Pelodiscus sinensis: one gene and its partner. The protein of the gene in region 1 purifies or fractionates together with the protein of each later gene. This does not show direct contact. Links are inferred from orthologs where the notes say so. Each region holds a gene or a part of one and is shown on either strand. Other genes may lie near its edges. The genes, in order: ASPH and LRRC59.

What was found.
Region 2: the proteins of ASPH (region 1) and LRRC59 purify together in Homo sapiens (co-immunoprecipitation; 3 studies listed by BioGRID and IntAct, with this or other methods). This does not show direct contact. The link is inferred for Pelodiscus sinensis from reciprocal best matches to the Homo sapiens genes ASPH and LRRC59.

Annotation. Positions count from the first base shown.
Region 1 is NC_134712.1:61,045,670-61,049,579, reverse strand, and holds the start of ASPH (aspartyl/asparaginyl beta-hydroxylase), read right to left. Parts: upstream 2,284-3,910; 5' UTR 2,161-2,283; coding exon 2,094-2,160; intron 1-2,093.
Region 2 is NC_134730.1:13,990,201-13,994,110, reverse strand, and holds the start of LRRC59 (leucine-rich repeat-containing protein 59), read left to right. Parts: upstream 1-1,425; 5' UTR 1,426-1,577; coding exon 1,578-1,663; intron 1,664-1,841; coding exon 1,842-1,950; intron 1,951-3,357; coding exon 3,358-3,417; intron 3,418-3,910.

The DNA of each region.
Region 1 (3,910 bases):
TCACAACTGAAGGGGATCCTATGTAAGCATACGGGCCAAGTCTTTTTTAAAATAAAAGGACAGATTTTACAGAGGTCAACTGCACACATGATTAAGGATATGAATGTGTAAACGGTTACATGTAGCCTCCTCCCCCCACACTGTATCAGATGCAGAGGCAGCAGCGTGTGGGGAAGATGTGGCTCCGTGGGAGCCAGTATGCACAGGGAGCTGTCTTTCGCACACCAGCTCCTAGGGAGCTGCCCAACTCCCCTCCCTCCCCCCATGTGTAAATGTGTATCTGCTGAAATTTTCAGCAGGTAAACATTTACCTAAATAAATGCATTTTAACATCCCTAATAAATATTTGGGAAAAGTTCTTACTCATCATAGGTAAATATGATCAAGAGTTTCAGGCTTTTTTAACTTGAAATGTTAAAACAAATTTGGAAGGTGTATTGGAGTTCTCTATAGTAGCCCAGATTCTATACAGGATGCATTTTTAATGTCTTGTTTTTCAAAAGACGCATTTTACAGAATTTAAAACTGAAATAAGCTCTTTCCTGTTGCTGTATGATTATTATAATAAACACCCATAATTCCCAGATCAATTGTTCAAGAGAAATTTAAGGGGCATACCAGCTGTTAACCTAATTAAACACTGTATAACTGTAAAACTTGTCTCACCAACAAAAGTTGGCCCAATAAAAGATATTACCTCAACCACATTGTTTCTTTAGAGTCATTTGAAACCACTGTACTCAATTATCAAAATGATCAATAAGTACAATGCCATATGTATAAACCTCTGATAGAGCACTGTAAGTTCTACTAGTACTATGCACATGGCTGAGATCACGTGATCAACCTTGTATCTATGCTAGTAGTGATAAATAAAACTGAAAAATTAGAAGTCCACAGAGCTAACAATGTATAGGCACAAAGCGTGCTCACCGTAAAGCTAACGAGATCAGCTCTTTACAACCTGTACAGTTATATAACTACCAGAAAGGCATTAATATACTTTCACCTGACATGTATTTTCCTCCCAGAAGTTTACTTTGTTTTATGTGAGTTTACTGTAAAAAATTATTAATTCTATTGTTAGTTTTGTTAACCCAGTTTCAAGTTGCTCATGTCTTACTTTCTGAAAATAAATCTTCCTTTATATCTGCACTTTCTAATTTACAGCTAATTAAAAAGCCTTCAGATTACTAGAGATAAAAACTTGACAGTTACGGTAACAAAAGAATATTTTGACATCAGTATTTTATACATGGTGGTATCAAGTCACTAAAAGCAGTCTTATTTTAAAAATATGCCAAAGTGCACTTTTTCACTCACTGCAACGCTCACTGTAAAGTTCTTTGCAAAAAGCAGCCTGCTTTTTATTCAGGAATTTAAGACACTCCTAGACTTGATTGTCTAAGACTTCTAAGTTTAAAATTACTGGGCTAAGCACACCTAGTAATACATGCAGCTCTACTCATGATTAATCCTCTGCAATGAGGAATTCCTCTGTTTGCTCAGCTACACGCTAAGCTTCTCCTCCACTTCAAACTCGAGCAAAAAGGGGAATAAATGAAATCTGAGTAACAGATTTAAACCATCTGTTCCGACCTCCCTTCCCTCCAAGCGCTGAGCTGACACGTAAACACATGGAGGAGGCTGAAGGTGACCAGGCAGTCAGAGGGAGGCAGATACACGCGCACAAACCCCGCCGGCGCTTTCCCGCACCCACCCGCCGCTTTCACCTCCTGCCCCCCGGGACTCCCGCACGAGCCCAGCGTGCAGCGAGGCCCGGCCACCGGAGCCAGACACTCAAGAGAGCGGCAACTTCGAAAACGCAGCGAGCGGCGCCCACAGTCCCGCGGGGCCCCAACATCCCCGCCCCGCCCACTCCCCGCGGGGCACCAGGGGCCGAGGCTGCTGCAGGCTCGACGGGCCCCCGCCGCCGGGCACTCGGGGAGCGGCATCCCCTTGCCCGGCGCACCCCGCCTGCGCTCCCAGGAGCCGCCCCGTCCCGCGGCTCTGCCCCCACAGCCTGCTGCTCAAGCCCAGCCCCGGCGCGGGACACGGGGCGGGGCTGCCGCGGCCGGGCGGGCGGCACTGACCTCTCCTGGGCCCCTGACTGGGGCTGCTGCCGCCACCGGTGCCTTTGGAGCTCTTGCGCGGAGCCATGTCACCGTCTGTCAGGTAGCGGAGGGGACTGCGCGCGCTCGCGAGGGGAGGAGCCGCTACCCGCCCAACCGACCCTACGTGAGCGGCGGGGCTGAGGCCAAAGGACCCACCCCCTTCGGAAGCCGATTGAGAGCCACCTCCACCAATCGCAGCGCTCTCGCCGGAAGGGGGCGGGGCATCGTGTGCGTTCTATTGGTACGGACAAAAGGATTGGGTGGGATGCGTTGCGCTTCTTTCTCCGTGCCGAAACCGGGCGCTTGGAACGTGGCAACATGGGAGCGCTCTCGCGAGGATTCAGCTTCCAACCCAGCAGGAGCGGCGCGCGCTGCCCCTGAGCGAGGGGCGCCCGTGGGCGGGGCGGCTTGGCCGAGTGTGGGGTAGCCAGGCTTCAGCTGCGTTGCTGAGTGAGCCGCCGTGCCTCAGTTTCCCTACCTCTAGTAACCAGTCCCAGGGGTGCTCAGTTAGCTGGGGTAAGGACGCTTGTGTTGGTGACACAGGAGCTATTGCAATTGGCTAATGCTGCTGTGCACCCACGGGAGGTGTACGCGGCAGGGCACGACCCAGGCAAGACACCTTACCTCAACCTAACTTTGGTAAAGGACCTGCAGGGCTACATCTACACTGGCAGCTTCTTGTGCAAAAACTCTTCCAGAAAAGAGCATCTACACTGGCATGTGCGTTTGTGTAAGAGCATCCATGCCAGTGTAGATGCTCTCTTGCACAAGAAAGCTCTGATGGCCATTTTAACCACAGAAATTCATGTTGCCTGTCTACACTGGCCTCTTCTGGAAGAGCTCTTGCGCAAGAGAGCTTATTCCTTAGCGGGAGCATGATAGTTCTTGCGCAAGAAGGCCTGATTTTATACATGAGAACGTCGATTTACTTGCGCAAGAACACATGGCCAGTGTAGATAGGCAGCAAGTTTTTGCGCAAGAGTAGCCGCTTTGGCACAAGATCGTGCCAGTGTAGACGCAGCCTTACATTTTGCTTTTGCCCATGTAACTGCCCCCCAAGCCTGACTGAATAGCCTCAACTCCACAGGCGGCATGGAGTCAAGGGCAATGTGCATAGGCTGAGGCAGAATCATTGTATGTGTTGCAGGCCAGTACGGCGGGAGGGGGGATTGAAAGATTGCAAAAGCAGCCCCCATGGTCCACCAAGTAAGCATGCTCCAGCCAGTTAGAGGAAGGCAGGAGCAAGGTAGGAGCAGCGTGCTGCTAGATCCTCCCTCCCCATGCTCTGGCAGGTCTGGAGAAGGCTGGGGCTGATTTCTCTGCTTACTTGGGGGAGTGTGGTGGTGCATTCACACCTTTGTGTTCCACGTTTACAAAAAAAAGCACTCCCACCCCCACAGAAATTCCTGCGTAGGGGCCTTGTTTGTAGTTCTAGGCTATAACCTGGGTGGGGCAAGCAGGGGGCTCAGCCACTGGCAATGTAAATAGGAATATGGGGAAGGAAAATGGTGGGAAACTAGCATAGGGACTGGCTCCACCTGTAATTTGGGGGTAATCAACCATTCCTTTCCAGCCCTGCCCCCACTTCATCCCTTCCTCTAAAATAGCACCTCTTCTCCAACTATGTCCTGCCCCCATTGCACCCTTCCTAAGCATCTGTCCCACTGCAGCAGCCGCTGTGTTCTGGCAGGTAGGAAGGAGGTGGAAGAGTTGGTCAGCAGAGCCACTGGGTGGGTTACTATAGATGAAAGGAAGAGACAGAAGGCAGGAGCAAGGCTGCCAGCAGGTACTGAGCA
Region 2 (3,910 bases), on another chromosome or scaffold:
TCTCGCCCTCCGCCTCCTCTGTCCCCCCCACCTTCCCCTTCCTTTTGTTCACCTCCTCCCCCCGCTAGGAGGCGCTAGCCCTGCCGAAGGAGCCGCTCTGCCCTGAGCGCGGGTCCCTCTTGGCCAGCGGGCCGGCTCGTTGGCGCTGGCGGGCTGAGCCGAGACGTGGATGTTGGATGCGGAAGTGGCTGGCAGTGGAGGCGAGTGCGGGGCGGGGCGGTGAGTGCGGGCCTGGGCCGGGGCGCTCCGCCCGCTCTGGGCCGCGCCCGGCGTCCGTGTGTGGGTTCGGTGGCGGCCCGGAGGGTATTGGGCAGAGAGGCCCCTGTGCGGAGACATGGGGGGGTGCCCTGTGCCGGGGGTATTGGGGAGAGGGGGGGCCCTGTGCGGGAACATGGGGGGGTGTCCTGTGCGGGGGGTATTGGGGAGAGGGGGGCCCTGTGCGGGGGGTATTGGGGAGAGGGGGGGCCCTGTGCGGGAACATGGGGGGGTGTCCTGTGCGGGGGGTATTGGGGAGAGGGGGGCCCTGTGCCGGGGGTATTGGGGAGAGGGGGGGCCCTGTGCGGGGGTATTGGGGAGAGGGGGGGCCCTGTGCGGGAACATGGGGGGGTGTCCTGTGCGGGGGGTATTGGGGAGAGGGGGGCCCTGTGCGGGGGGTATTGGGGAGAGGGGGGGCCCTGTGCGGGGGGTATTGGGGAGAGGGGGGGCCCTGTGCGGAGGTGGACGGGGGTATTGGGGAGAGGGGGCCCCCCTGTGTGGGGACATGGGGGGGTGCCCTGTGCCGGGGGTATTGGGGAGAGGGGGGGCCCTGTGCCGGGGGTATTGGGGAGAGGGGGGGCCCTGTGCGGGGGGTATTGGGGAGAGGGGGGGCCCTGTGCGGGGGGTATTGGGGAGACTGGCAGTCTGAGGCTCCCTTGGTCCCTTGCGGGGAAGCTTTGGCTGGGCTGGGGCGTTCCCACAGGAGATGGAGCTGCTGGGGGACAGGGTCGCCTACTCTTTCTAGTGGCTTGCTGGGGCAGAGGGGATATGTCCCACTTCTGCCTTTGTGCTTTTTTTCTCCCTTACTGGAATGCAAAGGAATAAACATTCCAAAGCTACAGCAAGATGTGGTGGGACAGAGTCCGGGAACTGGGCCACTGCTGTTAAACAGCATTTCCGCTTCCACCTCTACGTATTTGCTCCCTCCATTCACCATCCTCTCTTGTACTTCTGCCCTTCAGAGAGCTCTCTTCAAAAAGACCCTTGGATTCCCCCCACCACAACCCAATCAATTCTACTCTTGGTAGTAGGACAAACAGATACCTTACAGTGTTCTCACTGTGCCTAGATGTCCTGCTGGCATGAGGGGCATCGGAGGAGGTTGGGTTATTTCTAAGAAAATAAAATTCTTGCTCATTTAGCCAGAAAATCCTGGAAGGGTGGTGATGCCTATCAGGTGTCACAGGTATAGGTTTACAATCCATATTCAGCTTGAATTGGTAAAAAGGAAAGACTAATAGTTGTTCCCATTTGGTGGCCTTTCAGTAGCCTCTGCTAAATGGGCTGTCAGTCCAGTTCCTGGTAGACAGGTTGCAAAAACCATGTCCACAGTTAGCCTGAACTGGCAAACACTCTGGCATCCAGAGCAAGATCTAAAAGGGGATCAAAATATCCCTGGCTTTAAAAGGTGAGCACAACAGCTGTCCAGACTCCTGCTGTAATTGTTAGGTAGATACAGCTTAAAAGAAAATCTAGGGGTTTGCCAATTTCTTTTGGTGCCCCTTCTTCCATTCCTGATCTTTTTTCCTTCCCCCAAAAAAGGAGGCCCTTTGGTGAGCTACTTACGACTCTTTATCTGTTAATAGGATCATGGCAAAAGCGGGAGGAAAAGGAGTGAACCTGAAAGACAAACTTGATGGCAATGAACTGGACTTGAGCCTGAGTGACCTGAATGAGGTGCCAGTCAAAGAGCTGGTCAGTATCAGTCTTTTCTGGGAAGTGTTAGGCTGTGTCTACACTGGCCACTTATTCCGGAAAATCAGCCGCTTTTCCGGAATAACTTGCCAGCTGTCTACACTGGCCCCTTGAATTTCTGGAAGACCACTGACGATCTACTGTAAAATCATCAGTGCTTTTCCGGAAAAACTATGCTGCTCCCGTTCGGGCAAAAGTCCTTTTCCGGAAAACTGTTCCGGAAAAGGGCCAGTGTAGACAGCACAGATTTCTTTTCTGCAAAAAAGCCCCGATCGCGAAAATGACGATTGGGGCTTTTTTGCGGAAAAGCATGTCTACATTGGCACGGATGCTTTTCCAGAAAAAGTGTTTTTCCGGAAAAGCATCCTGCCAATGTAGACGTGCTTTTTATGGAAATACTTATAACGGAAAACTGTTCCATTTTAAGCATTTCCGGAAAATCATGCCAGTGTAGATGTAGCCTTAAGGTATTGCAGGGGAGCTTTTGAGATTACACTTGGTCTTTGTGAATTACAGATTGGTCCAGGAAGGGGTGGGGTTGAGGTCTGGGGATGCATTGGGCCCTGTGTACATTTTGTTTTTTACCAGCTCAAGGTAATGCCAATTCAGTATTTAAAGGCACACTCACACTGTTTCTCCTGGTTTGAAGAAAAAAGGGAAGATAAGGATATGCAACCTTGAATCTTTCCTGTTGTTTTGACTTTGGGGATTGATGTGACCTGAAGAAAAGTGTGTTCCTATTGATCTAATCTGGTTTAATCCAGATTGTGTATTAAATGGAGGCTTTGGGTGAAAGAACCTATTTCAGTGGGAGCAGTGCTCATAAAACCCTGACTTTGAGTGAGATGTAAGAGAGTTGCAAAAATAATTTGAATGGTGGCAACTGGGAAATTCTTAAAACTCCATGTATGGGAGAAATCCCAAAAAACTTAAATATAAGCAGCAAAGTATCAAACATGTTAAAGAACTGTAACTTTGATAAGTCTCAGGTATCTGTGTTAGTCTGTATCTGCAAAAACAAGGAGTCCTGTGGCACTTTAAAGACTAACAGATTTATTTGGGCATAAGCTTTTGTAAAACCCACTAAATTAGAAAAGCAGATATAATATATATATATATAATCTCAATATCATACATGTATATCAAAAGAAGGGAGTTATCAAGTGTAAGACCAGTGTTAATGAGCCCAATTCAGTCACTGGTCAAACTCTTGATAAGTAACTCCCTATACTAGTACATATATATCCCTATCTCTGTAATTTCTACTCCAGTGCATCTGATGAAGTGGGTTTTACCCATGAAAGCTTATGCACAAATAAATATATTAGTCTTTAAGGTGCCACGGAACTCCTTGTTGTTTTTGTAGCTTTGATATAGGTTTAATTTGGTTCCTTGGCTCTTTTTCAGGCTGCCCTTCCAAAGGCTACCATATTGGATTTGTCCTGTAACAATCTCACTTCCTTACCGGTAAGAGGAGAGAAAAGCTTTGTGGAAGAGGGTGGGATCTGCTTGAAAATATCTGTAGAAGGATACTAGCCTTCATGGGAGGATGAGGTGGGAATTTGATAACTAGCAGTTATGTTAGCTTCTTATGTTAGCTGGAGTACTGTGTCCAGTTCTGGGCGCCACATTTCAAGAAAGATGTGGAGAAATTGGAAAGGGTACAGAGAAGAGCGACAAGAATGATCAAAGGTTTAGAGAACATGACCTATGAAGCCAGGCTTCATGAACTGGGCTTGTTTAGTTTGGAAAAAAGAAGATTAAGGGGGGACATGATAGCGGTTTTCAAATATCTAAAAGGGTGTCACAAGAAGGAAGGAGAAAATTTGTTCCTCTTGGTTTCTGAGGACAAGACAAGGAGTAATGGGCTTAAAGTGCAGCAGGGGAGGTTTAGATTGGACATTAGGAAAAAATTCCTAACTGTCAGGGTGGTCAAATATTGGAATAAATTGCCAAGGGA